Alligator mississippiensis: one gene and its partners. The protein of the gene in region 3 interacts with the protein of the main gene of each other region in a pairwise test. Links are inferred from orthologs where the notes say so. Each region holds a gene or a part of one and is shown on either strand. Other genes may lie near its edges. The genes, in order: NDRG4, SNX11, ARL6IP1 and GAD2.

Evidence for each region.
Region 1: the proteins of ARL6IP1 (region 3) and NDRG4 interact in binary tests that used the Homo sapiens proteins (3 or more experiments, as listed by UniProt). The two-hybrid records come from large-scale screens. The link is inferred for Alligator mississippiensis from reciprocal best matches to the Homo sapiens genes ARL6IP1 and NDRG4.
Region 2: the proteins of ARL6IP1 (region 3) and SNX11 interact in binary tests that used the Homo sapiens proteins (3 or more experiments, as listed by UniProt). The two-hybrid records come from large-scale screens. The link is inferred for Alligator mississippiensis from reciprocal best matches to the Homo sapiens genes ARL6IP1 and SNX11.
Region 4: the proteins of ARL6IP1 (region 3) and GAD2 interact in binary tests that used the Homo sapiens proteins (3 or more experiments, as listed by UniProt). The two-hybrid records come from large-scale screens. The link is inferred for Alligator mississippiensis from reciprocal best matches to the Homo sapiens genes ARL6IP1 and GAD2.

What each region holds. Positions count from the first base shown.
Region 1 is NC_081833.1:38,962,816-38,970,595, forward strand, and holds the start of NDRG4 (protein NDRG4), read left to right. Parts: upstream 1-4,768; 5' UTR 4,769-4,937; coding exon 4,938-4,974; intron 4,975-7,780. UniProt on the Homo sapiens protein: Contributes to the maintenance of intracerebral BDNF levels within the normal range, which is necessary for the preservation of spatial learning and the resistance to neuronal cell death caused by ischemic stress.
Region 2 is NC_081827.1:167,758,977-167,766,098, reverse strand, and holds the start of SNX11 (sorting nexin-11), read right to left. Parts: upstream 3,011-7,122; 5' UTR 2,926-3,010; intron 2,877-2,925; exon of another isoform or gene 64-2,876; intron 51-63; exon of another isoform or gene 1-50. UniProt on the Homo sapiens protein: Phosphoinositide-binding protein involved in protein sorting and membrane trafficking in endosomes. Regulates the levels of TRPV3 by promoting its trafficking from the cell membrane to lysosome for degradation.
Region 3 is NC_081836.1:44,689,227-44,697,062, forward strand, and holds the start of ARL6IP1 (ADP-ribosylation factor-like protein 6-interacting protein 1), read right to left. Parts: upstream 3,006-7,836; 5' UTR 2,933-3,005; coding exon 2,897-2,932; intron 396-2,896; coding exon 262-395; intron 1-261. UniProt on the Homo sapiens protein: Positively regulates SLC1A1/EAAC1-mediated glutamate transport by increasing its affinity for glutamate in a PKC activity-dependent manner.
Region 4 is NC_081828.1:188,878,138-188,885,910, reverse strand, and holds the start of GAD2 (glutamate decarboxylase 2), read right to left. Parts: upstream 3,006-7,773; 5' UTR 2,932-3,005; coding exon 2,856-2,931; intron 2,465-2,855; coding exon 2,405-2,464; intron 2,205-2,404; coding exon 2,055-2,204; intron 1,189-2,054; coding exon 955-1,188; intron 1-954. Other genes in the region: MYO3A (myosin-IIIa), read right to left, coding at 5,643-5,757, 7,710-7,773. UniProt on the Homo sapiens protein: Catalyzes the production of GABA.

The DNA of each region.
Region 1 (7,780 bases), on a different chromosome or scaffold from region 3:
CTGACATTGCAGCCACCTGTGGGCAGTCATCGTGCCCCACCTCCAGCCTCTGGGGGCACACATCATTCATGCCGGAGTGTCACGTATATCAGCATCCCCATGCTAAAAAACGGCAGCAGGGCTGCTTTAACTAAAGCTCATCAAATTAGTTTTAGTTAAAGTGCTTCCGTGGCCATTTTTCAGTGAGGGAATGCTGATAAACGTGATGCTGGAATCGGCTGGAGCACAGTAATTACCACACTCCAGCAGACTCAATCGCAATTACAGTGCATCAGAGCAGCCTGACTACATGTGTGTAGGCGCCTATAGAGATTAAAGCCATAGGAGTGCTAGCTACTTGACCAGGTATAAATCTGAGGGTTAAATACATTGTGTATGTTTCCATGTTCTCTTAGGAGTTCTCACCCATAAGTGAAGATTAATGCCACTACGGATACCAAGCTATTATCTGTTCTGTTCAGACTGAATTAAAATTAAAAGGGGCTGCCAGTCAACATGCCGTTGACACACAAAGTATTAAAATAGATGAGTGATGAGGCACCAAGTATGGAAATAAATGCTTGTGTCAACACTTCATGTCTCATCAGCCATTTATTTCAATTCAGTGGAGCTGGATGGTGAGAATAATGGCAGGTCCTAGACAAAGCTATTAACTGTTGCTGCTGTTGTAAATTAATATACTCTGTAGCCTTCGGGTTCCCCCACCACAGGGACGTATGTTTGTAATTTAAAGACATTATGAAGTAAATCGGTATTTTAGCAACTTTGCTGGCCTGCTAAAGAGAGAGCAGGCTGAAGCTTGCAGCTTTTGTCTTAGTACTCTTTAACACAACTGCAAAAGGTTGTGGTTTGAGTTCTGGGCTTCTTATGACAAGGGTGCCTTGCTTTCATCTCAGCTGCCCTAGGTGTAAATTCAGGATAGCAACAGTGCAGGCAGCATGGTTCTTCCAGACTTACACCCATGTACAGGGGATCACAAGCTGGTTCACAGAACACAAAGGAGCTCAGGGGTAACTGAGCGAAGTATCAGCTCACTGCAACCACATGACATGGGGGTGCATGTCAACACCTGCATTTATGGTCATACCAGCTATGCAAAAAAAATGTTACTGCAACATTAAGGGAGAGCCTTGGACTGCCTATGAGCAAGAACCAATGTGGGGGAATGGGATAGATTGAATTCTCTATCACTTTCATTTTTTAAATCAAGACTGAGCATGCAGGAACATTTAGAAGCCAAGGTTTCCATTGCAACTGAATCTCAGTTCCTTGTACCCATGTAATTTTATTCTGTGGGCCATTCAAGAATTTTTATGTATGCCATTGGCTTCAGTGTCAGACCTGGAGCTCCCATTGACACTAGTGGGAGTTGAAGATGTTGGCCCTACTGTCAGTAGAGTTAGTTGTCTGTCTCTGGGTATGTCTGTGTTGCTTCTGTAGCACTTCTGACAGTGCTGCCGAGAAACCGGCCCCTTACCAACTTGTTTCCACTCCCAAGATCCCTGCCTCTGACAGAGGCAGTTCAGGGTGAATTCAGGGCAGCTTCCCTGGCTCACTTCTGGGATTGGCCTGTGCAGAGGGAGTGGGTGAGGCATGCTTCTTTGCTGTGCTCTCAAGAGCACCATGGAAGTGGGATAGACCTGCTCCATGGAAAGCTCCTTGGGAGCTTTATGTCTTATCAGAGGTGCAGATGCCCATCCTGGGAATGCTCCGCCAACATGCAGCAAGCATCACTGCAGCAGCCCTATTCCACACATACTCATAAGGCAGAACTTGCAGGTCTCAACTGTAATATGGCTCTTCCCATAGTGTAGGTCTCTTGCCTAGAACTTCTTGGGTGCTCAGGGGAAGTGCACCCGATTCATTTTACAGTAAAACCTCAGCTTACAGGTACCAGCAAATAAATAAGACATGTGCAACTCCCATATCAATCACTGTCTGTCTATGACTTGTGTGCCTGGTGTGTACTGCGAAAAAAACAAATATTTTAACCCATACTGGAAATTCCTGTTGAAAATAGTCAACTGGTCATAGCTGACTGCTGGATTCTGGCTGCTAGTCTTGTGTATCAAGACCTTTGTGCCAGCAGAAATCATAGGATCAGAGGAAAGTAGGGCTGGAAGGGACCTCATGAGGTCATCTAGCCTAGCCCCTGCTCAGGCTAGATGAGCAAGGGCTAGATGAACAGGGGCTGACCTCAACCAAAGGTCTGTGTATAGAAACACAGAGCCCCAGTAAGATGAAAGGATCAACCTGCATATCACTCCTTGCAGGGTCAGGGCTGAACCAGGGCTAGTGGACACCAGCAGGGACCAGCAGGATGGCTTTTCAAAAAATGTTGAATGGTTTTTAATGAGTCCTGGGAGAAATTTCCTCTATGGAACGTGTTGTCATGCATGAAGTTTGAAGCTTGGAATTGGACTCATTTGAAAGTTAGTGAAGGCTCAGAGAAATCAAAAGCTGAGCTTATTTCCCAATGTGTGAAAAATTCATTTCTTAAAAATAAAATAAAGTCCTAACACTTTGGTTAGCTAAAAAAAGGACGGTTGGTGTGTGTGTGGAGGGGGGGGTTAAATTGTGTTCCTAAAAAGGGTTACTTGTGGGATGAGAAGTGGCATGACACATCTGAGACTGAACGAGAGAAAAAGGATCTGAGAAGTCTGTAGGAGCCTGAAGAGAAAGGCTGAGAAGAGTCTGCTCTTCATCTCAGGGCAAGCTAGACAGATCAAAAAAGGAGCAGGCAATACTGGGAAGCCAGGGCAAGTTTACAGCGGTGAGTAAGAAATGAGGCATTTCCATATCTGAGTCAGCATCAGGGAAGCAATGACCATCCTCTGCCAGCCACTCCTCATGCAGAATATAGTAGGGCCATATAAGACTTCATGAGTGTCACCATCCTACATGGCACGGTCAGGGACCTAGGCTGGTGGTTGCTACGTGGAGCCATCTCCAAGGGTGTGCACCTGGCATGCTTCACAGACACTCCTGACACCTGCTCTGACAACAGAGGACAACCCTGGCGCACGCTTACCTTGAATGCGCCAGGCTACAGCCCCTCCGCTGCCTCCTCAGGAAGCTCCACCTGAGGTGGCCACGCTTCTCCCTGCACCTTTCCTTTTATGCAGTCCCCATCTGTGGCCCCACCAGGTTCCAGGATCTCCTGGTCAACCTCCTCTCAGCTCTGGCCAAGCTATCTCAACAGGAGGGAGGCTGCAGCCAGAGGAGGGGACCTGGGCAACTGTGGGGCCTTTCTGTGTCCCTGATCCGTGCATGTCCCTGGGCAGTTTCACTGGGCTGTGTCCACAGGCTCCTCCGCATTGCTGGGGGGGCTGGCTGGCGTGCTCTGTGTGCCCTTGGAGCACTCCCTGTAAACCTGTGACCTGCTCCTGTCCCCATTTTCTCTTTAGCTGTCCCAGGCAATCAGTTGTCAGGCCTCTACTGGCCTCCCTCCTTTGGGGAGGCTTCTAGTTCCCCGGTGGGCCTAGGCCCCGCTTCTCTGGGCCCAACGAGCAGGCCTGCAGGGCGCCTCTCCCAGGACAATGCTCGGAGCAAGGCAGCCAGCGCGGTGGCACCGGGGGGGGGGGGGGGGGGGCTGGGCGCTGTGACCCTCACCCGCGGCGCCCCCCGGCGGGAAGCGAGAAGCCAGACTCCGGGACCAGCACCTGCGCGGGCCCGGGCGGGCGGTGCCCCAGCTTGGCCTGGCGCCTGCTCCCTGCGGAGACCCCAGCACCAGGACGCCCCGCACTGCGTCGGGCTCAGCCGCGGGCCTGGCTGTGCCCCCGCTGGGGGCCGACGACAGCCCCAACCCCGCCATTCCCTCTCGGGCCCGGCTCTGCCGCCAGCCTGCCGCAGTGTGCTGGTGCATCTCCCGTTAAACGCAGCCAGCGCAGCCTCCCCCTGGCCGCCAGCCGCAGCCGCAGCCTCAGCCCCGAGCCAGACAATAGCCCCCACGTGGATCGCCTCGCACCGCGGCTCCGCCGCCCCCTCCCCGCGCCAGCCCAGCCCAGCCCAGCCCAGCCGCGCCCGGGGAAGGCGCGGGCCGAGGTGCTGCTCCTCCGCTGGGGGCGGGCTGGGGCACTGCTGCCGCTGGGGACGGAGCAGCTGCGGAGGAGGCGGCGGCGGCGCAGCTCGAGGAGCGGAGGGAGCCCGAGCCCCCCCGGCGTGGCACTGATCCGGTGAGTCGAGCACGGCCCCCGCCCCCCAGCGCTAGCGGGCGGTGCCGGGCTCCCGCCGCAGCCGCCCCCCACGGGGACCCCCCGATGCTGCCTGCACCAGCCCCAGGAGACTGGAAGGGAGGGCGGTGACCTGATCCCGGCTGGGCCCTGGTTCGTTTTCTGTAGCAAGGCAAAACCTAGGTCCGCTCCCCTGCCCTCGCCCCCCATGGCCTGCATGCGGGGTCGGGTAGCCCTGGGGCTTGGGGGCTGCCCCGCTTCCCCGGGGGCCTGGTGCTGCGTGCCCGACAGCAACCCCCTCCCGCTTTGCAGATATGACAGGTGGCGAGCAGGGGGGTTGCTCTTTTGTCTGAGCAGCCGTGAGGGCTGCTGTGTTGTCTGGGCACCTGCAGCCCATCTGTGCCCCGATTCACCCAGCCTCGCCCTGCCAGGCTCCCGGGCGGGGGCAGGGTGGGTGGCTTATTTGTGCAATGTAAGATTTGGGGGGGGTTCTCTCCTGAAAGCGCATGAAGCTCCTACCTATCTGCATTGAACACTCATGCTCCACACACGCGCACACACATACACACACACACACAACATGCTGCTCTTCCCACTCCAGCCCAGCTCTCTGTCTCATTCCTGAGCCAAGCTTGCTTGGAACTGAGCCTGCCTCTGAGGACTGTGCCCATCTCTCCCCAGTGGATTTATCCTGCTTGTCTTTTTTCAAGAGCTTTTCTTTCTCTCTTGCCATTGGCACCCATTCTGGAGAGGATACAGAGCAGAATGAAGGTTCTGGGACATAAAATAGAATTATTAACAGGTAAAATACGCGGGTGGAATTTGCATGCATTTCCCAGGGAGCCACTCTGGTTGTCGTATGGATGGCCAAGTTTACAAGCTGGAGTCTGGTGGGTTTCCCTGTTTCTATCCCAAAAAAGGCTCCTTGTTTCATGCCACTAGTGCAGTGGCACAGTTACTTTGGGCATGAGACTGCTTTGATTGGAGTTGTGGGGCAAGTCTCAAGCTGCTGACTTCAACCAGAGCTGGTCCAGGGGTGAGGGCTGGGGTGGGATTATGCCCTTTGGCTTTATGGAACAGCATAACAATGTGGGGAGAAGTTCTTGTTTATTGAATGCTATATGGAAGGGGATGAGATGGGACATCTAGCTATTAAGAGCCTCCACTAATTCACTTTTTCTTTCCTTGCTCTCTAATCTCTTCCATTTAATTAGTTATTTCATATTTATATAATACTTGGAAATGGAAAGTGCCCTGTTAAATTGGATTTAGGTGGGTTACTTCTCATGGACAAGCCAGTTTCCTTGTATCCTGTCAGCTGGAAGCAGCTTTCTTGGCATATCTACCCCACCTGGTTCAGTAATTTCCCTGGTGCCAGAGAGGCTCAAGGAATAAACGAGGGGACCAGTGCTCAGCTTGAGAGGCTGCCGATATGTGACGCAGGCAGCTTCCTCCTCCCCCACAGGACCAGCTGTCTCTCCCAAGCCCTGTCTGTTGGGATGTGTGTGGAGGTCAGCACCACACACTGCATCTGGGCTTCTTAGGCAGGATGCAGCTCTGTAGAGTGACAGTGATCCATAGTCGCTGCCGGTGGGGACTGGGGTCCTGATGGGTCCTTTTTCTATTCTGCCTTTCCCTGCAGCTGCTGCTAGTAACTGTCTGTGCACTTCCTTGCACACCAAGTCCACATTACCTTGTCAGGGTCCCTGCATTGGAGGGGCTGCACATTTAGGAACCAAACTTGGGATAGGGTGGCATAGGTAAAGAAAAAGGTCTGTACTTAGCCTCAAATGGGCTGGGGGACCGAGTTCACCCAGAACTCCCCACAGTGGTAGAGGGACAGAGTTTGCAAAGCATTTGGCTCTAACCCTCCTGGTACTACAGGACTCTGCAGTAAAGGTCTCCACGGGGTGTTATCTTGGGAGCTGGGGTTGTAGGGGCTTTTTACACTGGGATTGTAAGAAGGGGACCTTGTGAGGCCATTCTTCCATTTGTTAGAGCCAAAGCTGGGGATAAGGGAAGCCTCACCTATAATCGGGGAAAAGGTGTTGTCCACGTGAGCTCTTGAGTACCCGGCTGGCTGCAGTATAACTGAGAGAGAGAGGGGATGGCAGAAGGTGCTGATCCCTGTCAGCCATGCTGCCGGAAATAGGCACTGTCTATTTTTGCTTGCTTGTTCCCAGCCTTCCTGGGCTGCCTGACTGCCTTTTGTTTTCTTTTCCATTCTGAGCTCTGGAGATTAGAAGAGAATAGGTTATGCTTTGCTACAGTTGCAGCCCAGGTAGTCACTCATTAATAAAGGGCCCCTCTACACAGCCAAGGCTACTGTGCCTGGGGATCTCATTAGGACACACTATAGTGTCTTCCCTGATGGGCTCTAACAAGGACTGGTCCTGCATGCACAGATGGGGCCAAACTGTTACACAGGGCTGGAACTTGGAAGGGACCTTCTGGGCTGTTGGTTCCAGTCCCCTGCTGTTGCAGGCACCACACTATATTCCCATTAGGAAAATTTACCAACTTGCCTCTTAAACTAGGTTAGGTTGTTTGCCTCTGCCCATATAAGAAGGTGGTTCCAGAACCTTGCTGAGCTGATGGCTAGAAGCCTTCTAATTCTAAGCCCAAATTTATTCATGGCTGTTTTAGACCATTTGTTTTTGTTTTAGTAGTATCTTTTAGATTAAATCATTCTTTTCCTTCCTTTGCATTTCCCTCCCCCAGTGTATTTACCGAGAACAATTCCATCCCTTCCCGGCCTTCATTTTGCGAGACAGAACAAACCAAGCTCCTTTAGTCTGTTTTATGAGACTGACTTCCCTATCCTCTGGTCCACCAAAGAGTCCCTTTATATACCTATTCTAATCTGGGCTCATCTTTCTTGGATGCTTGGTGATCAGAATTGTGCACTGTGACCCAGATAAGGTCTCGTTAGTGCCTCATACAGAGCTGGGGCAGGTTTCTATAGCCTGTTTCCCACTTCCACAGACCAGAGCAAGCCAGTGCTCAATCTTCTGCCATGCAGAGTAGATACGACAGCACCAGCATGTCCTGTGTTCTAGGTAGGATGGAAGATGCTGCTTCCTTGCTAAGCAGAGTTATGCTCTGGCATTGGCACTGGACATAGGCTAGATGACCTAACCAAAGGACTTCTGGCCTGAGAAGTCCAATACTGAGGTGTTCCCTACAGCCTTCTGCCAGCCTAACCTGGACATTCAGAAATGTGGACCCTGATTGACAGAGCTATTTTAGCAGAAGCCCTTTGCATGGGCAGTTTTGCTAGTATAGCTGTGCTTGCCCTGGTATGGCTTGTTTAACTCATGTGAAGTGGTGTTACTGCGTGGATACAAAATGCTTCTTTGTTGGTGTAATTGTGTCTGCACTAGGAGAATTTGCCAGCTTCAGGGAGTGGGGAAAAGGGTCAAAGGTTTGCCTGAGCCTGGGTGGGAGGCTAACTTAGTTAGGCCATGCTGGTTTCTGCAAGCTGTGACCCACAAAGGAGGGGTGGGGCTGGCACTGTTTGGCCATCATTGACTCTCCAACCTAAATTACATTTATAGGTAGATCTGTAGTGTGCCAGTGTTCCTATGCTAATAGCATGCTCCTATCAG
Region 2 (7,122 bases), on a different chromosome or scaffold from region 3:
AGCAGAGAGAAGCAGACCAAGAAGCAGTTTTAAACATGCATGATACACAGCAGGAGACATGACCTTGTTCCCAGTAACAGCAGCTCCTGGACAAATCTGGATAATTGAGGTTTTGCTAAAGGCTGATCATCACACCACTGCTGTGGGCTGATTACACCATGGCAGGTTCAAGTTTGCACTGCAATAAAATAGGGGGAAGGGGGAAAATAAACCCTACCATAACAACACTTCATTGCACACACAATTCACGCCTCCCCACCAGGGAGAGGATGCGAGAGAACGAACCACACGCGGCACATTAGTCACGTCACTTAATGCAATAATGGAAGACGCTCAGATACTGTGGTGATGTGTGTGGGATAAGCACTTATACAGAATAGCATCAGCAGAGAGGTTGACCATTATGTTCCCTCTTCTCCCTAGAGAGGCACTGTTGATGCTGTTGCTTTTAAACTGCTTTCTTTGTGCGACAGCCCTGGTGGCTCAGTGAGATTAAAGACACAGAAGGGGGAAAAAAGAGAATCAGCCCATGCTAAGTGAAATGGCACATAATTGGTAGGAAAAGGAATTTAATTTTCCAGCAACCAAATGAGTCTTACAAAGAAAAACAGCAGTGGGGACACATGGCATAAGAGGCAACCAGAACATGCACCCTAATCAGCTGGGAGCCAGAGATGCGAGAAACAGGATCAAGACAAATAATTAGGTGGAAGAGATGAAAGAGGCAGAGAGAAAAAGGGGAGACCTGTAGACAGCACTCATCATAACCTAGTGTATTCCATACCCAGGGAGGTTCCTGTGGTACTGTGCAGAGCCCTTCCCTATTATTTTTTTTAAATTCCATAATTTCTCTGAAATCCCTCATTAAGACTCTAATGCCTGACAGTGTTGAAGGATGTACTGCTGTCTGGCCTTCCCTAGGAGGTTAAATAGATAAACAACTAAGTGAGGCACATAAGCCGCATCTACACTATCAGACATACAGTGTAGAGTTCTTAGTGCCCCCACCTTCCACTGACTAGATTCCAAATACTCAGAAATAATTATTTTAAAACAAGGATGTCACAAGTTAGACCCACCTATGCCTATATTGCATAGGAACTGATTTGTGCCACAACAGGAGATGGCCAATCTAAGAATTGTTAGAAAGGTACACATTCATTTACCTAAACCTCCACTGAATTAAAAGTTAATTTTTTAAATCCAGTAGCCATCCTGCTTTTACTTGCTCTTTTTAATATCTCTGCCAGACTGGACAATGGTAAGTAAAGAAAAGAAAAAAAAAAAATCAATGAAGTTTTGCTTTTGCTTGCTGTCAGTATTGCTTTAAGTCATTTGGTGCTGCAGTGTATCACTCATAAGCTGCCAGAGTTTGGTTACTGGTTTAAAAAAAAAAAACAAAAAACAAAACAAAAACTGGTAAAGAAGTTTGCTTGTGTCATTTAACTACATCTCTATTCAAAGCTGCACCAGGTTATTCTTAATCCAACTCCAGTTTCATTTGTATCAATTTATTTTACAATGGCAACAAGTCAACTTAAACCAAACCAAATAACTTGAAGTTAACTTGAACAGTAATACCAAATAAGATGGTATTTAACATTTTTCCCTAGAATCCTACATATGCAAGTATCTTAGCATTTATTTATTCTTTTAGAGACTTTCTCCATCTTCTAAGGAAGAAACAAACCTTGAAAGCTTCAGCTGTAAATGCACAAAAACCAGAATCCAAAACCATAATACTTATTCTGTCCAAGCCTCATGAACTGTAAATCTGATTTCATGACTGATTTCTGATGCTCAGTGCTAAGATATGTACACTTCAGTCCATAGCTGTATCAGTTTTCAAAGCCATTTCAAATCCTATTAGTACAGCCTTGAACTTAAGAGAAGGCCTTTATGTCATTTTTGGCATATATAAAGGCAACCTGACTTCACCCCGACAGAAAAGAGGGGCCCTGCCTCTCCCCTTTAAAAAATATAACATGAAAACATGTACATTTCCATGCAAACATGGAAATACCAGGTTTTGTTTTATTTTGCTAGAAAACTTTCCACATGACTCAGAAATACATCCCCAGCCGCACTCACATCCCTTCCTTAATCAACGGGGCAGATGTCAAACATGCTTCCCTCCTCAGTGTCTGTTGGACAAACAGTCCAAAACCTTGCAGGGGGAAGGGTTTTAGACGGTTTTAATGTGAAATTACCACCAGCTGCATCCCCCCCACACCTACTTGCTGCTCACAGACCTCATACTGGCTTATGGACTTTTATGCCAAAAGCCCCATCCGTGCCACCTGCTGCACTGCTGTGCTGATGGCAGACAGCTTCCCTCAGGGTTTCACTTCCCTGGTGAGCTGAGATCTCATAGCTCCCCTCACCAGAGGCCCTACTAAGGGAGACAAAAAGTCCAGGTGGCTAGTTTTTAGGGAAAATACCGTTTTGCAGCCAAGAAAGGGGAACAAGCCTACTCCATTCCTCCTGCGGCTTGTCACTTTTGGGGCAACTGATCTGCTCTGGATGCCCTTTGCCACATAGCAGGTGCCAGGGAGACTCCTTCGCCCCTGTGTTTTGCCTCTCCCCCCACTTCTAGCAATGCACAGTCCAGAGCTGGACCCCACCCAACCGAACCCATTGAGACACCCAAGACCACGTCCTCCGATAGAGACCCCCATCCACTGGCTCCGCACAGGCGCTTGGGCTCCTTGGCCCCCAAGCTGCAGTGCTGGGCGCCGCTGACAGCCCAGCTCCAGCTGGCTCCGTGCGATCAACACGCCCCAAGGAGTCGATGAACTGAAGGTGCCGCCTGAATAGGGGCCTCCCTGGCGCAGGCAAGGAGCAGCAATCTCCCCAGCCACTGCCCAGACAGCTGCCTGAGGTGTGCCGGGTGCCCTCCCGCCATGCACCCCACAAAGACCCTACCTCTTCCCGCAAGACACTCCGGTGACACGGCCCCTTTAAGCAGAAGAGGCGGCGCCGCCTGGGCCCTTATAGCAGAGGTCACGTGAGACTCCTTCCTTTTAGGGCGCGGGGCAGCATGGGAAATGTAGTTCTGCTTAGGAGAGAGGACTCCACCTCTTCCTCCAGCCCCCGGGGGCCTTGCACAGTGGGAGGGAGGGAGAGAGGGAGGGGGATGCAGTGGATAAGGAAAGTACTTTTGCATTTGCAAGCTTGGCTAAGAGTCCCAGTTATGCAATTGGTCTGGTAAAAGATGCTACCCAAAGAAAGCTTTGTCTCTCCTAGATAAAAGAAAGAAGATAAGGGGATGCATGGAGGGGGGGAATACTCAGAGCAAAGTGCCCAGAGGAGAGGTGGAAGCCACCTCAGTTCTGGATCTTTCCTGGGTCCCTGTGCAAGGCTTTGTGGGACATGGGCAATACTAGCAGCCCCACCATTTTGTGGCACAAATTGTGACACTGGGTGGTTTTGTCAAAGCCCCACTCCAGGGTTAGGGGATTGAGACTCTGGCATTAATTTAAGTAAATAAATAAATCAAGTGTTTAGCCCTCATCTTTGCAAAAACAAGCTGGCACATGGGACCAGGGGCACTATAAAGACTCAAGAACTAGCCTCAAATGGATCATCATCATTATAATAAAGTTTTTTATGACCTGGATCATAATTTCCTTAATGTTTGGGATGGGCAATACTGTAATGCTCTGATGGTATTAATGGCTGTTAGCAAGCAAAGTTTGTTATCTAGAGAAAGAGTATCAGACACACCCCATGGGCCAAATTTGACTCACACCACCAGGCTTTCATTTGGCCTGCAGGGTTCCTTGGAAGGGCTGGAAATTTGGGAGCAGAGCCCATCACCAAATTTTGGGGTAAGAGGCCCTGCTGGGGGGGGTGTTACTGTGCTAATCCCTACAGGTCACTGAGCCAATGCTGGGGCTCATGAACCCATGGCAGCCACTGCTTGCACCACCACTAGATTTGGGTCCTGATCTAGCCAGTGACGACCCTGCAGTCTGGAAATCGCCCATGAAGAGGCCTAGGGAGCTAGGGAGACCAAGGGAGTTTGATTTAGAGCTAATCACAGAACTCACTGAAGTCAAAAAAGTGTGTTAACCACACTCCTTTAGAGTTTGCTGTTTTTAAACACCCATGTGGCAGGATAGCTGAAGAGGATACCATCCAAGGCACTGGGCTGCATGGCAAAGGCTGAGCAGGATTCAGCTGTGTGGCCTTAGAGGATTTCCTAGGACTAATTGCAAACACTAGGGTTTGAGGAGAGAGTGATTGCAGAAGCAAAAAGTCAAGAAAGAGCAAGCAAAAGGCTAGCACACAGCGAAAGAAGTTGTGAGAGTAACCCCAAGAGAGAGGAGGGACACGAGCTCCTTGGGATACAGAACTGGCTGGAAAGCCAGGCTTGGAAACTGTGAGACTTTGCTGTGGTCTGTTTCTGCCATGTTCAGGGAAATATGCTGCCTTCCTTCTTTGTGAATATTCAGGATTGAACCAAAAAAATACTTGACTCAGAGAATTGGGTTTTTTTTTTTCTCTTAATGAAAACCATCTGGAAAGACCCTGAATATGGGCAAAGGACAAAATGCTTACATAAGTCTGCAGAGAGCAGAGGAACACCTGTATGAGCAGCGTTTTGTCCTGGTATGAGCAGCTTCTTGTTCTGATATTTTGGAGATGGTGAGTTTAAGGTTGGGGGGAATCAAACTCATCCATCCTCCTGGGGCCAATCCATTGGTTTCATCCAGAACCTAGCAGGGGCAAATCCAGAGAGGGTACAGTAATGCAGATGGGGGTTGTCAACCCCTGAGGTATAGTAATACAGATCCATCCCCCCTTTGATTCCTCCTCCATCCAAACTAAAAGCCAACTGCCTGGGATTAATTTAATGGCTCATTACCTTCTTCCTGATACCTGATAATTGCTCTCCACTCCACAGGTGTTAAAAACTGCTATCCATTTTAATGGTCCTGATGTCAAACTTCCCTTGCTTCTGCTGATGTCGATGTCTGTTAGCCATTCCTGGTAATCTCTCTCTCTTATTTCACAGCCCTGCCCTGCAGTCTGTTTTTAGCTCTAACTGAAAACCTTAGCTCATGTTTCATAGTTGGTAGGGTCAGAAGGGACCTGAGCATATCACCAAGTCTGACCCCCTACCATGGGCAGGAATGAATGCTGGGGTCAAACAACCCCAGCTAGGTGATTATCTAGCCTCCTTTTGAAGACCCCCAGGGTAGGAGCCAGCACCACTTCCCTTGGAAGTTGGTTCCAGATCCTAGCCGCCCTGACTGTGAAGTAGTGCCTCCTGATATCTAGCCTGAATCTACTCTCAGTCAATTTATGGCCATTATTCCTTGTTACTCCCTGTAGTGCTCAGGGGAACAGGGACTCTCCCATGGCCTGCTGGTCCCCCTTGGCCAGTTTGTAGACAGCCACTAGATCCCCTCTCAGCCTCCTCTTGTGGAGGCTGAACAGGTTCAGGTCCTGCAGTCTCCCTCGTAGGGCCTGCTTTGCTGCCCCCTGATCATGCGAGTGGCCCTCCTCTGGACCCTCTCCATGCTGTCCACATCCCTCCTGAAGTGCAACACCCAGAACTGGACACAGTACTCCAACTGCGGCCTGACCCATGTCGCATAGAGGGAGAGGATCACCTCCTTGGACCTGCTCGTGATGCATCTGTGGATGCATGACAAGGTGCAGTTGGCCTTCCTGACTGCGTCCCCACATTGGAGGCCCATGTTCATTTTGGAATCAATGACACCAAGATCCTTTTCTGTCTCTGTGCTGATAAGAAGGGAATTCCCCAGCTTGTAGGTATGCTGCTGGTTCTTCCTCCCCAGGTTCAGTACCTTGCACTTGTCAGTACTGAATCCCATCCTGTTCTCATCTGCCCACCCCTGTAACCTGTCTAGATCTAGTTGCAGCCTGTCCCTCTCTTTCAGCGTGCCCACTTCTGCCCACATTTTAATGTCATCCGCAAATTTGAACAAAGTGCTTTTCACCCCCTTGTCCAAGTCACTGATGAAGATGTTGAACAGTGCGGGCCCGAGGACTGAGCCGTGGGGGACCCCACTGCCCACATCCTTCCAGGGAAAAAGACCCATCTACCACCACTCTCTGGGTGTGGCCCTACAGCCAATTGGCGACCCATTTGACTGTGTAGGCATCGATGCCAAAGTCACCTAATTTCTTAATAAGAATGGGGTGAGAGACAGTGTCAAAGGCCTTCCTAAAGTCCAGAAAGACTTCGTCTACCATGACACCTGCGTCCAAGAATTTTGTGACCTGGTCATAGAAGGCCACCAGGTTGGTCTGACAGGACCTGCCTCTAATGAACCCATGTTGGTTGCCCCTAAGCATGATCTCCCCTGCTGGTCCCTCGCAGATGTGCTCCTAGATAATTTTCTCAAATACCTTCTCCAGGACCGAGGTAAGACTAACGGGCCTGTAGTTTCCTGGGTCCTCCTTCCTCCCTTTTTTGAAAATGGGGACCACATTGGCCCTTTTCCAGTCCTCCGGCACCTCACCAGAACACCATGAGTGCTCGTAAAGCTGTGCCAGGAGTCCTGCAATGACCTCTGCTTATTTCCTCAGCACTCTGGGGTGGAGATCATCAGGACCTGCTGACTTGAACACATCTAGACCCACCAGAAGTTTCCTGACTAGGTCCTCACTGACCCTGGGGCTGGCAGCACCTCCCCTGGGTCCCTCGGGGATCCCAGTGGGGGGGATGCCCCGGTCCCTGCTCAAGAAGATGGAGGCAAAGAAATTGTTAAAGAGGTTAGTTTTGTCATCTGGTGTGACCACCAGATTTCCTAGCGTATCCTGCAGAGGCCCTACGTTACCCGTTACCTTCTTTTTTACCCTCTATTTAAAACAGGACTGCTCATTGTTCTTGATCTGGGTCACTAGTCCCAGTTCCATCTCCGCCTTAGCCATCCTAACAGCCCCCCTACAATCTCGGGCAATGGAGGTATAATCCTCCTTGGTGATGGCCCCTCGCTTCCATTGGGTGTACACCTCCTTTTTAGTTCTGAGATGTTCCTGGATGCTTTTGGTGAGCCATGGGGGCTTTTGAGCACTGCTGCCCCCTTTGATCCATGTGAGGATTGTCACCCTTTGGGCTTGGAGGATCGTCTACTTCAGGAATGA
Region 3 (7,836 bases):
GAGCAACAGCAACTCATAAAGGACATTTTTAACAACCAAGGTCAGAAAGGATAAATAAAAGGATCAGTGAAACATGCAATCACTGCTGGCCTCAGAGCAAGAGGTCTTGTGCACCCTCCTGTTACTACTGCTCTTACAAAAAAATCTTAGACCTTACTGTCTATATTAAGCAAGAGATACTGGAGCAAAACTTTCCCAGGTGGTATTTTTAAGGAGAAAGCTTCAGTTGATTTTCTGGCAAAAATAATGCAGACTACTTACAGGAAAGCAAAGGTAACAGTACCCATTACTGCAAGTGGAAACCATACTTTTTCCCAACGAAGGATTTTGTCAGTTACCAGAATTACTTCTCCCCATCCTTGTAACTGCTCTTCCAAGCTGGCAGTCTCTGCAGCCTGCATAAAAAGACATTTAAAGTTGTCACTAATTAGAAAGTCACATGGGTACTTACATATGAATTATTTACTACATGCACTAAATTTTTCATTAAGTATTTGTGCTTGCAAAGCCACACTAAAATAAATTATTCTTCTATAGGTACAGGACACAGTCAATCCTTTTCAGTTAAATGTTCTTCCACCAGTTTTTCCTCAGTCATACAACTTGGCACTGTAACTCTGTGGTTTTAATGAAGACAGTAAGGTTAAGATTTTCACAGCAGATTATGTAGTAACATGTCCTCCAAGATAAGGTGTCTTTAGATCTCCTAAGCTATTCTGCATCCCAACCTGAAGCTCATCCCTTCAGAAAAAGAAAGGGAGGGAGGAAGACTTTTGTTTGGGAGATTAACTAGTCTGCCAATCATAAGATTCTCCAGCATAGAGAAAGCATTTGTAAGGAATTCAAAGTGTCCTCTTTTTTAAAAACTAAAACTGAATTCAAGTCCCCCACCCTATCCAGTATTTAGTACATGTATTTTACTGCCCTTACATCCAGTCCGTTTCACTGCTTCTCACTCCATTTTGAGTTAGACAAAAAGCAGAAAAACCTATTTGGAATTTTTTTAATAGTGGGAAAAAAAAAAAAAAAAATCAAAGAATTAAAACACACATTTCCAAGAGTAGCACCCAAAAGTACTTGGGTACACTAGTACAATGTACTTAGTACATTTATTTATGAGATACCATAAACTGAACAATTTTTGGCTTGCATTCTTTTAAATTATATGTATGAATGACAAAAGGTGATGTTAACTCAGAAATGGTCAAAAATAGAAAAAAAAAAAGGTAGTTTCACATCTGACTAGTCACACGGCAATCCAACTTAAAAAAAATGCCTACGCCAGCCTCTTTACCGTTGCCTCAGGTCATATGTAACACATTAAATATAGCTGATAAGCTTGCTGTCCATGGGGAAAATAGGAAAGATTGCTGGTATCACAAAAAGGGACTATTTTCCTAGGGAGAGGGAAGGTAGAAATAACTTAAAACAAAAAACCCAAAGTAGTCAGTGTAAAATCTGCATGTGATGATCAAAACCTAGATGCAATTATCAGATCAGTTATATCTATATGTCCTGCCCTATCTACCTTCCACATTAAAGATAACTGTACCAACAATAAGTATATCTACTTCACACTTTCTAGAAATAGCCTCAATTTCTCATTTTCCAAACTAGGAGACAAAAGCCTGCTGTCAACAGACAAGTCTATGTTTGTGTTACTTCAGTATCTGGGGCCACCAGCAATCACTCAGAAAAGGGAACTCATCTTAAGTTACCCATTACACAAGAGGCACTTTAGCAGGACAAAGGTTAGAATACAGCTGTCAGGAATAACAGCCTGACTTCTGCCAGCACACAAAGCAGGTAGCAAGTGTACTTGTTCTCCCATGCAAATAGGCAGAGAACAGGTGCCAACTCCTCCTGTCCATCACCTCCTCAACCTTCATTCAAATGCTTGCCCCTCCCAAGCCTTCTCTCCCATTAAGTCAGGCAATTTCAGCCACCTCCCCTCCCTAGCCCAGGTATTGTAGTTATGCCGCATGCAGCACCTCCCAGCTTCCAAGAGACCCTTTCTAGCCGAGTGCCTGAGTCTCACTCTCATCTGCTGCTGCTTCCTCCTTTCTACTACTTTTTCAAAGCTCCTTCTAGGAGCTTCTTTCAGCTCTCAACACCGTTTGAGTGCCTCACTTTTCAAAAACAAGGAACTGGAAGGGACCTCCTGGGCCATCAAGTCCAATCTGAAACTGCAGACAAAATATCACTCCTTTCGTTCCTCAATGTCACCCTTCAAAGCCGCCCTCCCCCTTCCTCCCACGATTATTTCTGCTACTACCTCTGACTCCCCAGCCCTCATTTTCAGTTCCTGCCTGAACCTGTGTTTAAAGCCATCTGCGTATTCCCCACTTCGTCCAGAGCAAGGCCCCTACACCTGGCTGTTTCAAGCCTTCCTGTCTCTCCGAAGCAAAAGCATAAAAACCCTGGAGTGAGAAGAGGTGCACCTTACAGACTAACTGAATCAGAGATGCCACAGGCTTATGTGAGACAGGGGTGGAGATGGAGCTGCAGTGTCAGCTGCTCTGTCCCGAATCCAGACTAAGGAGAAAGCAGCCCAGCCCTTTAGGGGAGACACAGAGCCTGGGGCAGGGGCCAAGCCAAGCGCTAGGAGTCGAAAGCCGAGAGGAGAAAGCGCAGAGCCCGATGTGGGGCGGGGAGGCAGCCGGGCCCCAAGCCGCAGAGGCCTCCCCGCTGCCTAGGGGAAGGGCAAGGGCGCACCAGGGCACGGGCCCAGGGGAGCCGAGCCAGGGGAGAGCGAAGGCGCGGGCCATTGCTGCGGCACAGCCCGGGGAGACTGCGGCGCAGGAGCTGGGGTAGGCCTCGCCCGGCTCGGGTGCAGCAGCTGAGGGCGAGGAGGAGAACGGAGGCGGAAGCAGCCCCGCCCGGCCCGGCCGCTCACCAGCTGGTTGGTGCTCTTGTTGTCTCCGTCCGCCATCTTGTGCGGGTCCGCACGCTCCCACCAGCCAAACACTGCGCCCGCCCCAGCTAGCTGCTCGCCGAGCACTGCGCCGGGTTGGCGGCGCCGCCCTTTATGGACACGGCGTGGGGGCGGGGTCCGCTGAAGTCTACGCAACGATTGGTCGACTTGAACGAGTGGCCGGACCAATCCCAGAGCGTCGCTATTTGAAAGCGGGCAGCTGCCAATCGGGGCGTGGCTCTCTTCTGTCTGCGCCTCTGCCCTGGGGCGGTGTCAACGGCCAACTGTCTCGGTCTCGAGCGACGAGCGCGGGGGGCGGGGCCACAGCCTCGTTCCAGTGCGGCCCACGGCCCGAGCTCCTCCCCCCGCGACACTTGCCCCCGCGTGTTCGCCTGGTCTGAACAAATATACACGTACGTGTACACACACACACACACACACACACACACACATATATGTATATGGATAGATAGATCATTTTAATAATTAAAAAAAAGTGTGTCTCCCAAAGCTTGCACAGAACAATTTTTCCAACTTTTCAGTGGGTCTAATAAAAAACCTCCCATTTACTCAGAGAGTCTCGTCTGCCCGTGCCCTCAGACCAACGACCGACAGTCTGCTAATCTTCCGTGCCCCGGGAAGGAGGGGAAGCCAGGAGCAGCCTGTTGCCGTCCGGTGCTGCCCTGCATCCATGTCTGCTCGCGCCTGTTGTCTTTCCCCGCGGCGCCGGGGCCCTCGCGGCATCGTGGCCCTCGCCCAGCGCACGCGGTTCAGAGCAGGTCCCGCTGTGCCTCAGCTCCTTAGCTTAACGAGTGGTGCCCCATCTCCGGCCACATCAGTGTTAATTGCTGCTTCCCTGACGCCAAATGGCCGGGCCTGCGGGCTGGATGCCGTGCCACGGCGCACCGGACGGGGCTGGCACGCAGGGTTGGGCCGACACGCCAGACCCCAGCCTGACACCCGCGCCAGCATCTGGCCCACAGGGCTGAAAGGTTGGGCGGCCCCAGGCAGCCCCGATGAACGCCTGGCCCGGTAAGACGCTGCAGCACTAGAGAGGCAATCTGCATGGAGGATGCATCTTGTGAATTATACCTCCTGTGAGGTTAAAAAACCCCTGCAGTTAAACAAGCAACTTTAAGGCTCCCTCCTTTGAGTGCACGGTGGTTGATGGGGCTCCCACATAGATACCAGTGTTGTGACTAAAACAGTCGATGGTCACCTTGGCTGTCAACAGCAAGAGTCCTATTTAAACAAGGATGAGAGGATAGCCATATAAGTGTACAATCTGAAGCCTTTCCCAGACAGCAAGGTCCTGCGAATGTGGACTGCTACCATATTCACCTATCCTACCTATGCTGAATATGGTGTTACTTATATTCTGGTCGTACCTGGGATCCTTAAATATGGACGTGGACCACAGTATATTAACTGCTCGATGTTTTTCAAGCAGGGGAAAACAGTGCTGGATCTCTACTGAAATAGGCTCTATAATGGCTGCAGGAATCTGACTCAGCAAGTTCACTGCATGTTATATGCTTAGAGACGCATTTTAATAATCTCTGTGAGACTGTTGCCTAACTTTCTATCCTATTAGCAAAGACAGTCTAGGTATGTTCCCATAGGATTTTGTCCTGTTAAAGTAACCAGACCCTTCCTACCACCAGTGTATGAAGTACAAAGTTCGCACTGTGGTCAGTGAAGAAAACTGGGAAATGAATACATAGGTTCACATACACCTCGTACAACTCAGGACAGGAATTTGTGCAGAGTGCTGTGTGAGATCCTGTCTTCAAAACAGCACCGTGGAAGGGGATCAGCTCTGAGAACCTGAATCTTACACTTGGAGGAGATGTAATATTGAGGAACAAAAAGGCCTCTTCCCTGACTCTTAGAATAGAGAACAGGTCGCTAAGGGCTCAAGGCACAAACTAGCAATACTGATAATATTATATAGATTCCCCAGATAGAGATCCCTCTCAAATTGGGAGAGGGGGAACACACGAATGGAAGCCTTAGGGAATCAAATTGCTGTAGAAGTTACATGCAGCCATGAAAAAGGTGATGTAGAGGTAATTCCTGAATGCAGGCATCTCTCATCACTATTTCTGGGAGGTCCGTTGCAGAGAAAGGTGTTCTCTTGCACACCTGACTGAAGAAAAGACACCTTAAGGGGCTATGCACATCATGTCCATGAGGTGCCTGCTGAATAGACACACTGGGCACATCCAGAAGAGCGTGCACGTGAATTTTCCCGGGAAGAAAATAGCAGTGACACAGTTGCGCTGCTGCTGCTTGTCCCTGGGGAGCGCCTGTGCACGCATGCTGTGGCAGGCAGCAAGTTGCCCTGGCTGAGGTAAGGGAGGCTGGGGCCAGCACCTGGACTCATCCCAGCAGCCTTACCTGGGGTCCCATGGGCCTCCAGGGGCTGCAGTCGCGCCAATCCAGCAGCAGGGAGGCTGGGCTGGCAGCCAGAGTGTGGCTCCAGCCAGTTAGGCTCCAGTTTCGGGTGGTGCATGCTGCCACCACATGCACCACTCTGCTTTTTTTAGGTGCAGGGTTTTTTTGTCACTGGGATCTCTCAGTGTCAGAATCCCTCCCCTCTGCCCATGCTGCAAATTAGCCGTGCAGCGAATACCTGCATGTATGGCGCTGCAGAAGAATCTGCAGCACCAGATACTGCACATGCTCATTCACCTGGATTTCGACTGATTTAAACTACCTTTGCCTACGTGCATGTGCTAAGCCTGGGAAACCATTACGTAGGCGTCAAAGGCCGCATTCCAAAAGCTGAACCATGCTCTTACTGATGTTACTGGGTGAAGTAGAAATAGGTTGGTGAGAGATTCGTTATACATTGGATTTTTTCTTGTGGAAGATAAGATCTTACTAACTTGTAATCTAAAATGCCCCTATGAACACTGGCACATGAACAACTGGTGCCTCCCAAGACTGGGGGGCACCATGGCAGCAAGCAGGGACCGTCAGTGGCGGGGGGTGGCACTGCCGGTTGTGTCAGCAGCAAGGTGGGGGTGGGCAGGTGCAGGCAGCAACTACCCGCAGAAGCCAACAGTGGCTTCGGCAGTGGCCAATTTCAGGAGGGTACATGCCCCCACATGCCCCTCCTACACATTACCTGTGGAACTGCACTTTTCCCCATTGACTTAGATGCCTCAGCTGGCAAAGTGCCTTAGCTTTACATGAATGAAACCGGTCAGCTGCTGAGGTGAGTGGGATTGCACCTTAAGTGAGCTGCCACAACTGCCCCTACATCGAGAGCCTATTGTAGTTGTTAATCTTTTCTAACAACAGCCCCCTGCCACTTGTCACTCACCTATCATAGACCCAGGAGTCCCAGGGACTGGGAAGGTTGTGGAGTTTTGTCATCTGCATAATCTCATAGAACTGAGATGAAGAGCCTATGCCCTGAGGAAAGGGCACTGTTTTACCACTATTGGCCTGGATACAGTAACCACTTGTTTTTTTTCCATGATAGCACTAGTATAGAGAAGGGAGAGAAGGGACTGGAGCAGGCTACCACCTCATAGACAGCAGTAGGGATGATAGGAAACATTGTAAAAGTGCAACCTTGTCTGCACTCAGCTGCAGAGCTTTGCACAATATTCTTTAAACAGGAAATATACACAAAATAAGATAAAAATCCCCACAACACAACATGAAGCATCAGGAGCATGTTGTATCTATGTTTCTGTCCCTCAGAAGAACAGTAGCACTTTGTAGATGTTATTCAAAACACTCAGGAAACCTGCCCAGCTCCTTCTCCTATCCATTCATGAGGCTGTCTCCCTTAGTTTCACGAAGGTTGTGCCAAAATGGCAAGGAGCTTTCAATAAAAGGTAGATGTTTCTCATCAGCCTCCAGCTCCCAACATCAGATTTCTTCCTTTACCCCTCAAGTACTAAATGACTGTAGACAAGTACTAAATGACTGCGCAGTAACTGGAGTACCTGTGCAGTAGTGCTGCCAAATGGCTTTTAGGTGATGCCAACTGCACAGTAGCTCATTACTACTGCACAGTAGCATCATGTCACACTTTGTGCCACGTGACATTACTGCACAGTAGTAGCAAGCTACTGAACAGTTAGTGTCTCATGTAGACACAGCCAGGGCGTAGTTAAACACTTCCTCCTGAGCCTTTCCAGACCACCTTATATAACTAATGGTGCAGTTCCCATAGTCAGCAATCAGGCCTTGCCTCACCATAGAAAATTCTAATCTGTTGGTGAACTCCTAGGTCTAGTGCAAAAACCAACACTTTGGGATCCCCTGACCTGCACTACCCATTACTGCTTAGGAGACAATACCTCCTTGATAAAGTACTCACCTGTTACAACAGATCCAGCAGCTGATCTACCAACATCAAGATTGGTAGCTATAGCCTGGTAGCAGTCATGGATGGCCATCTTCCAAAGAGTTCTCCGTACAGAGAATTCACATGTATTGTTCTGTTGCTGCAGCTCCATGCACTGAACAGGTTTAATGGGTTTTGGTCATCAGAAGCCTGCAACATTATCCTATCCCATTACCTAATACTAGTTGGCTGAGTCACAAAAGTGGCAGGTGATTGAAGCTGCTTTAGATCAGAATCTAGAAGTGCCTGTTCTGTTTCATGCTCCTCAGGGGCTCTTATTAATTACCCCAGTTGTGAAGATATTGCATAAACATTAGATATGCTTGCAAGAGCTAGTTTATGTTCATTACTGTGTAGACAGGATCTGTTGGCAATACTTCCTTTATATTGTAAGACCGTATTTTTAAAGCCCTCCTACCTTGCATCATAGGAACAGTTAGAGGATGAAACAAGAGGAACCACAAGAATTTTCTTTGATAACAAGCCTTGGAATCCCGCTGCCTTCCAGTCAAAATCCTATAATGGTGTAGCACAACATGCTTCAGGATGCGTA
Region 4 (7,773 bases), on a different chromosome or scaffold from region 3:
GCTCCATTAAAAGCCCTTCTCCTCTGTCAGAGCAACTTCTCAGCCGGCTTCTGGACTCCCCCAGCAGCAAAATGCAGCTGTTTTCACAGCTGTCTCCACTGGCTGCAGATGTTTCAGGGCGCGGCTCCGGCGGGCAGCATCCTGGGCAGCCTGGACGTGGGGTCATCACTTAGCCGGGCGGCAGGAGACCGGGGCAGCTCCCACTGCAGGAAACGGACCCCAGCGGAGCAAACAGTCTCTGCTGCTCCGCCAGGCTCCGATCCCCACACGGGCTCGGCCCGGGGGCTGCAGCGCAGCTCGGCCAAGGTCTGAGCCCGGGGTCCGGTGCCCTTGCGGGCGGGGGCTTGTCTGCGGCGCTGGGCCCGAGCTGGGCGGGGGGAGCCGGTCTGTGCCCCGCGGCGGGGCTGGGCATGGACTTTCTACGCTGAACTAAGCTTGGGGTAGAGGAGAGAAACGCGGTCCACATCTCCCCATCCCCATGGTCCAGGGACTGGCCATGGGGTCACAATCCAGTTCCTCCAGCGTGGGGCGGAGAGGGGCAGAGGCGAGGCCGGGGACGCCCCACGCGGCTCGGCCGCCTGCCCCCGGGCTCCGGCGAGCCCTTCCCCGCGCCCGCAGCCGGGACACGGAGCGCAGGGCCCCGGGCGGCTGCAGGGCGCCGGATCCTGCCGCGGGTCCCGCGCCCTGCACGAGCCCAGCCCTGTCCTTGTAGGGGCTGCGCGGCCCGGGATCGGCCCCGGGCGGGCGCGGAGCCACAGCGGGTCTGTGCGCGCCGGGGGCCGGAGGACGCTCCCCGGAGCCGCCGGGATCGCCCTCCCCGTCGCGGCGGTGCCAGCCTCTCGCCCCCAGACACGGCCGGACACTCACACGGCACCGCGCGGGCTTCAGGCTCGGCACGAGGCAGAAAGTAACGTTTGTCAAGGCAGGAGGAGGAAATCTCGGCCGCTCCATTACCTGTTTTAATGGCATATTTCAGCGTCGTTCTGCAGTTCAACAAAATTTCTTCCAAGGTCTGCGGTTGATCCGCCAGCTCCCAGTTGTATTCCTGGAGCAGCTCGTTTGGGTAATGGAAATCAATCACTTTGGTTGATCGGTCAAAACTTTTCGCCACGTACTGAAGCAAAATGTCCACGACGTCTTGTAGGAAAGACATCGTCGCCACCTCCCCGTGGCAGGCGGGCAGGAGATCTGGAAGCGGAAGAGAGAAATGTCAGCGGCGGCGCTGGGTGGGAGAGGGATCGGGCCCCGGTGGGAGCTCCTGCAGCTGCGGCGGGGAAGGCGAGCCCGCTGCCATTTCTCATTTCACCTTGAGACGTGTGCCCGGACTGCACTGACAGTGACGGGCTGAAATGCGAGCCCCACGCATGCATTACAATAAAATCCCTTCTTCGGGGCTGGTCAAATGTGGTGGCTGGCAAAGAACTTGTTGATCGTTTACTGCCTTTTCGTTACTGGAGGGTTTCAACGGGATGAACCAGTGCAGCTCCTGCGTTTAGTTAAGGCTCGTGCCCGGTGTCAGCTCTGAGCTGTTTGTCGCGCGGGGCGGCTGCAGCCCTGCAACGAGCTCATCGCGCCGGTGGGCCGGAGCCCGCGGCTCGCGTGGGAATAGGTCTCGGTACCACATCCCCACCCGGGGCTGGGGGACGTGCCGGAGCAGAGGGGCCCGCTAGACATGCACTCGTTGGCGAGAATTTCCCGAATTAAAAAAAAAAAAAAAAGCATAAAAATAGCGATCATATTCCGGGGGCTTGGTGTCGCTCTAGGAAAAGGTCGCTATTGCCTGCGTCCTTGGGCAGAGCAGCCCGCGGGGCGAAGCTGTGCAGGTATTTTTTTTCAATCCTGATGTTATAAAATGTTTCCTCTTCACAGACCCGGGCAGCGCCATCTGCTCTAAGCGCGGGGACGAGATCGTGCAGAGCCCGCCCGAGCCCGGGGGCTGCGCTGCGGTAGCCCGGCGGCTCCGGGACCTGCCAGCCCCTCCGCCGGCCTCTGCTCCTGGCCCGGCCAGCCGGGATTAGCCCCGCGGAGCACCCGCGCGAGGGGACGGTCGGTACCTGTTGAGTGTAAAAATGCATAATTAACATCCGCTTTGGGGCAGCTGCAGGGCTTGGTGTTGCAGGTGCAGGCCGGCCGCTTCTCCTCCGAGCCCGGGTCCTCCTTTGCACCGGTTTCCATGGGCTTTTCCGCATCCCCATAGAGCAAAGCTAACGAGGAGACAAAAGAGGAAGCCGAAATGTCGTGTGTCAAACGCAGCCCCGATCGCGCGCCCCGCTGCTCCCTTTGTGCCCGCGCGCAGGGGCTCTCCGGTCCCGCGGCCTGCGACAGTTTCTCTCTTTTTAATGCCTACATATTTTGGGGTTTTTTTGGACTAGCCGCTACTGGCCACAGCGAGCTCCTTCCTTACCACAGAGTTTGGTTCCGATTCCTCCTGTGAACTTCTGGGCCGCCTGGCACCAGGCTCTGGCTGCAAAACAAGAGAAATGAAGCGGCGCGGCGGGGGCGCGGGCTGTTCGGGTGCGTCCGGCCCGCCCGGGGCTGCAGCTCCCGGAGAACAAAGAAAGGCAACGTGCCCAGCAGCGGCCTCGAGGCCTTTCCCCTCCCCTTGCCCCCCACGCCTGGGGAAGACCCCCCCCCCCGCCCGCAGGGACAAGCCCCTCGGGGGGACTCGTGGCCAGGCGGGCGCGGCTCCTGCTGGTCGTGGAGAAGCCCGAGGCACCGTCCAGCTGCACCTGGGCGGCCCCGGTGCGCGGCGAGGCGCGAGGCGAGCGGGAAGGCTCGGATCCCCGCGCCGGGGAAGTTTCCCGTCGGCCGGGCTGGAAGGCGTCCACGGGCTCCGCGGCCCCGCCGCCCCCTACCTGTGCTCGGGTTCTCGGGGTCCCCGGAGCCCTCCTCGGCCCCGAAGGACCAGAAGCCGGAGCTCGGCGTCGCCATCCGTGCGGGAGCGCGAGCAGCCGCGGCGCGGCACGGGGCTGAGCAGGGCTGAGCGGGGCGGGGCGGGGCGGGGCGGCGCTAGGCACTCTCCATGGTGCTGAGCGGCAGTGACACGAGCGGCGCCGCTGCCTCTTTATCCCGCGCGGCGCCGCGGCCCGGGCACGACTGCCCGCCGGGCCTGGGGCTGCTGGACGTGCCGCCCTCGGAGGCGCCTTCCAGGGGGCGGAGGAGGCTGGTGCTCCGGGATCCGTCCCGCTCCGCAGCCGCTCGTGCAGCCCGGCAGCCCCTGGGGCCCTCGGGGGCGGGAAGGGAGGAAGCTCGAGGGAGGCGGCTCGAGCGCGGCCGGGACCGACCGACGGGGGCGGGGGGAGAGGGGGGTCTGTGGCGGGATCACGTGAGTCCCGTCACTCCCGCCTCGCAGGACAGCGGGACTCGGCACTGAAGGCACAGCAGTGCCCGAGTGACGTCCTCGCCTCGCGTGGGGGGGGGGCGGGGAAGGGAGGAGGAGGTCCGGCCTCGACGCCGGCAGGCAGGGGGGGCGGGGAGCAGCCCCGCCCCCGGCCCCGCCCCCGGCACACAGCAGCGGGCAGTGCCGGCGGGCGGGCGACCCCCGTCAGGGGCTGCGGTGGAGTCGGTTCATAGCGCGGGGAGGCCACAGCCGCAGTCGCGGCCCCGAGAGCCTGGTTGTGGCCCCCACGGCGCCTCCCCCGTCGGCCCCGCGAGGCCGGGGCAGCGCCACGCAGGCTACCGGGCCCCGGACTCCCGGTTGCTCGCGGGCTTCGGCCGCCGCCCGCCCCCGGCCCGGCCCGGCCCGGCCCGGCCCGGCGCGAGGGGAGGCGCAGGAGGGCTCCGGCAGGAAGGCACCCGGGGGCCGCGCCCGCGCAGGGCCCCTTGCAGCCATGAGCCGGCCCCGGCGTCTCGACGGCGCTTCCCGCGCGGGGCTGCCCGGGGCGGGGGAGCGGGAGGTGCTGGCACGCGCCGCGGGCGGCCTTCGTGCGCTTCCTTCGCCCGCGCCTCCCAACCTGCCCCAGCCTCCCTGCCCGGGGCGCGACGGGCCCGCCTGGCCTGGCCCACGCTGGGGCCGGGCTCGGGCTGGCGGCGCCGTCCGGTCGGAGCCAGCCCGTGTCCTGGAGCACCTCGGCGCGGCCCGGGGCGGCGTGCGCGGGAGCAGAGGCAGCCGGGCAGAAGCTAGACGGCAGAGGCTCCGCGAAAGGCCTCGCTCCGCTCCCTGGAGCCGGGCCGGCGCTGGCAGCGTCCCTCCCCGCGCCCCGCTCACAGCAGCACCAGCTGCCCGCTTATCGCTGCCCTCCTTCTCCCCCCCGGGATTACACCTGTGCCAGGGTAATTCAGACACAGACAGGCGTGTCATTAACTCGCGTCCTTCTTTATTTACTCCGCCGCGTTACTGCTAGAGAGGAAGGAAGAGATTTCCAGACTGACACCCGAGGAAGAGCGGCGAGAGCAAACCCGCCTCTGCCGCGAGTGAGAGGCGGCCGCAGGCAGGGCTCTGCCCCGAGCAGCGAGCGGCGCGGCCGGGCTGGCTGCGCGCGGGGCCAGGGCGGCGGTGTCTCCCTTTAAAGGGCTTCGTGCAGAACTGGACGCCGCTGGCAGTCACTGCAGTCCGGGCGACTGGCTTGAGCGAGGGAGCGGGATTTGGCCCTCACCCTCTGGGGACTGTTTGCTTGATGAAGTCTGCCTTTCTCCCTTTACAGCTGGGAGAGTGCAATTATCAGACCTGGAATTCCACCTGGGTGTGAATGCACTAATTATCTCCATCCATTCTGCCAGGCCTCTTGTAAAATAGGTTTTTGGGTGGATTTTTTTTTTTTTTTTGAAGTGGCTATTCCCTTTGCACCCTGGTGGAACTGATTGCAATTGGTCTTTACCTTCGAGGCAGCAACAGACCAATTTTTATTTCCCTCGACATTTCTCCATCACCCAGAAATTAAAATGCCTGAACAAAAAACAATACCCATTTAGAAAGGAGAACAAAGCAAACAAAATTCAGGAGTTTATCCACAGAGCTGAGGGGGCAGGAGAGAAGGTTGTGCTTAGATGTCCTGTCCTGTATATAAACATTTCCCAGATAAAGATTACACACACTATATTGACCTCTAACCCCACCCCAGAGCCTTACAGTACATAGTCGATAAGGAAATAAGTTTAGGATATACTGTGCCATGAATAATTTATATGAAGATTTACTCTATAATTTAGGCATTGTAAGGCATAAACCAAAACGAATGGTTACATGCAATTAAAAATCCAATGCAGCTAATTCATTCTTCTGTTTGTTAAATTAATTTTCTGTCAGGGTGGGAACCTGAGTAGGAAAGGACTGGTCTATTTACTGGTTATTAACTGGTCTATTTACATAGTTTAAAGATGAAAGAAATGCAAAAGTAGAAAACAATCTATGCTAAAGAAAGTAAACTACTTTTTAAACATTCTTTCCTGTTTTATAATCTTGAAATGGATTAAGAACATCAGCAAAGGAAACTCTGTGGATTATTTTTTAAATATGTTTTTTTTTTAACTTGACAGTGTCCCTTCAACAGGAGGTGGGACCACAAATTAAAATAGTTTGTATTCAAATGAAAAAAACACTGTAAATGCGAAATATTGGAAATAGCCATACAAAAAAAAAGGAAAGCATATGGTATAAAATCATAAAAAAGATTATGCTAATAAAAGCCAAATGGCAGCAGCAACTAGAATTGCTGGATAAGGCGCCGGCGCTGAGAGGTTTTCCGCAGCAATTTTCTGTAGTCATAGGGATTATCTTCATTTTTGCTCTCTTCCAGGGGGCTCTCTGCAACCCTTGACCTAAGGATTAAGTGCAGAAGTGCTTTAGAAATTAAAGTAAAAACATTTGCTTCAGCAAACACTGTTAATCGACTGCTTAACTTCCACCCTCAGCAAAAGCTGCTGCCTTTCCCAGGCCTCTTCCCCTCTGTAGAATAAAAGAGGCACCTCAGAGCCAACACATTATAGACAGTACAGTGAAACATTACAGGAAAACATGTTTTTTCCATAAAGTAGGAATCAGTAGAGACATAATAAAAATGTTACGGCATGCAAAACTTGGGATCGATTCTTGTTGGATAGATACTGGACCAGATTCTCAGGTGCTGGAAACTGGTCTGGCTTCGCTGACATCATTGAGCTATCCCAATTTTTATACATGCTGAAGTCTTTATTGTTTCAGACTCAAAACTGCAAAGATCACAGACAGAACCATCTAATTTTATTTTTTTCCAAATGGAAAGTTGCATTAAGTCTCAACATATGAAGTGAAACCAGGTATTTCTCTGTAACGTGATTCAAAACAAACTTGATTGCTTTGAAACATATCTTATTTCAGAATAACCACTGAAATATCTGGGAAGCAGCATGAAGGGAACTGCTGCTGAATTCAAACTGCCAGCAAACAATAACAGGGTTCATTTTTCCACAGGCATATCCTAATTGATTAAACCACACAAGAAGCTCCGCTGAAATGGTCACTGAATGTTGAATTCTACCTAATGCTAAAGTAATAAGCTTGTAACAAGGGGATAAAATCTGCTCTCACTTGCATCAGGGTATGTCTAGAATTACCCCAGTTATTTCAATATGCTACTGAAGATGGCAGCCAGAGGAAAACATGCTATAAAGCACGTTTCTGCTTCCACTGTGCTCATTGATTTAAACATAAGCAAAATCAAGCCCCCAACTATATCCAAGAAATATTTTGAACAAAAAGTCAAAGGTTAGGTGAAGTTAATGACCCAAGAAATGCAAAATTTTCCTAAGCCTGTAACCATATTGTGACTTACTGCTACTATAACATGGATTCTTTTTAAAAAATTCCATGCTTTCATCAAATCTTTCTAAAAAGCTAATTGTGGTGCTCCTGTATTCAACATGAAAAATCATTTGTAACAGAAGGATTAAAGAAAGAATTTAAGGCACCTTTGCAAACATTTTTACTACTGTTTTGAATATATTTGTTTTTAAACCAGGCAGTCTCTCTAGATTACATAAATAGGTTTGTTTCGTTAGAATTTTCTTTAATCCTTCTACTATTGATTATATTTCACGTTTGTTCACATACATATTTGTGTATCTGCATACATTTGTGGGTGTGAAAGAGAATTTTTTTCTGACCAACAGAGGTCACTATCTATGAACTCTACATAGACACATCTTAGGTTTTGTCTTCAGGTTTCTTCTTCCTTTTCTCTCTGCGTCATGCTCACATCAAGCTGAGGTTATTAAGGCACGTGGTTTTTGTAAAATAGGGAAAAAGGAAGCCAAGAATCCGGTGTCTCAGCTCTGAAAGTCAGTCAAAATTTTGGCAAATATCCATATAATTTAAAGCCTGACTGAGCCAGAAATTTAACTTTCAAGTTTTTCTTTAGTTTGATGCAAGTTTGAGATCTGAGGCTCTACAGCAAGGAGGTGTGTTCACCTTATTGGGAGCTGTGGAAGCAGAACAAAACTGGCAGGTTTTCGAGTAAGACAAATGTGCACCGTAGACTGACTGGGCAGAGTTCTGTTCCAAAATTCAGACAGACTGAAAATCGAAGAAAGGAAATTTTCAGCTAAGCATAAAATTTCCTAATTGCTAGAATTATTATTGTAGAAGATTCCATGAAAATGAGTTGTTTTACAGCTTTTAAATGCAGATAGTTTTGTCTTATATGAAAATGTATCCAAATAAATATGTATCATCATTTTCTAAGCAGAATTAAAAAAACCTTTATTTTACCAACAATTATTTTCTGTTTACTTACCCTTCACTAGCCATTATAGTTGAACTCCTGAGCTCAGCCGGTTGTCTCTTTTCTCTTCGGCCAG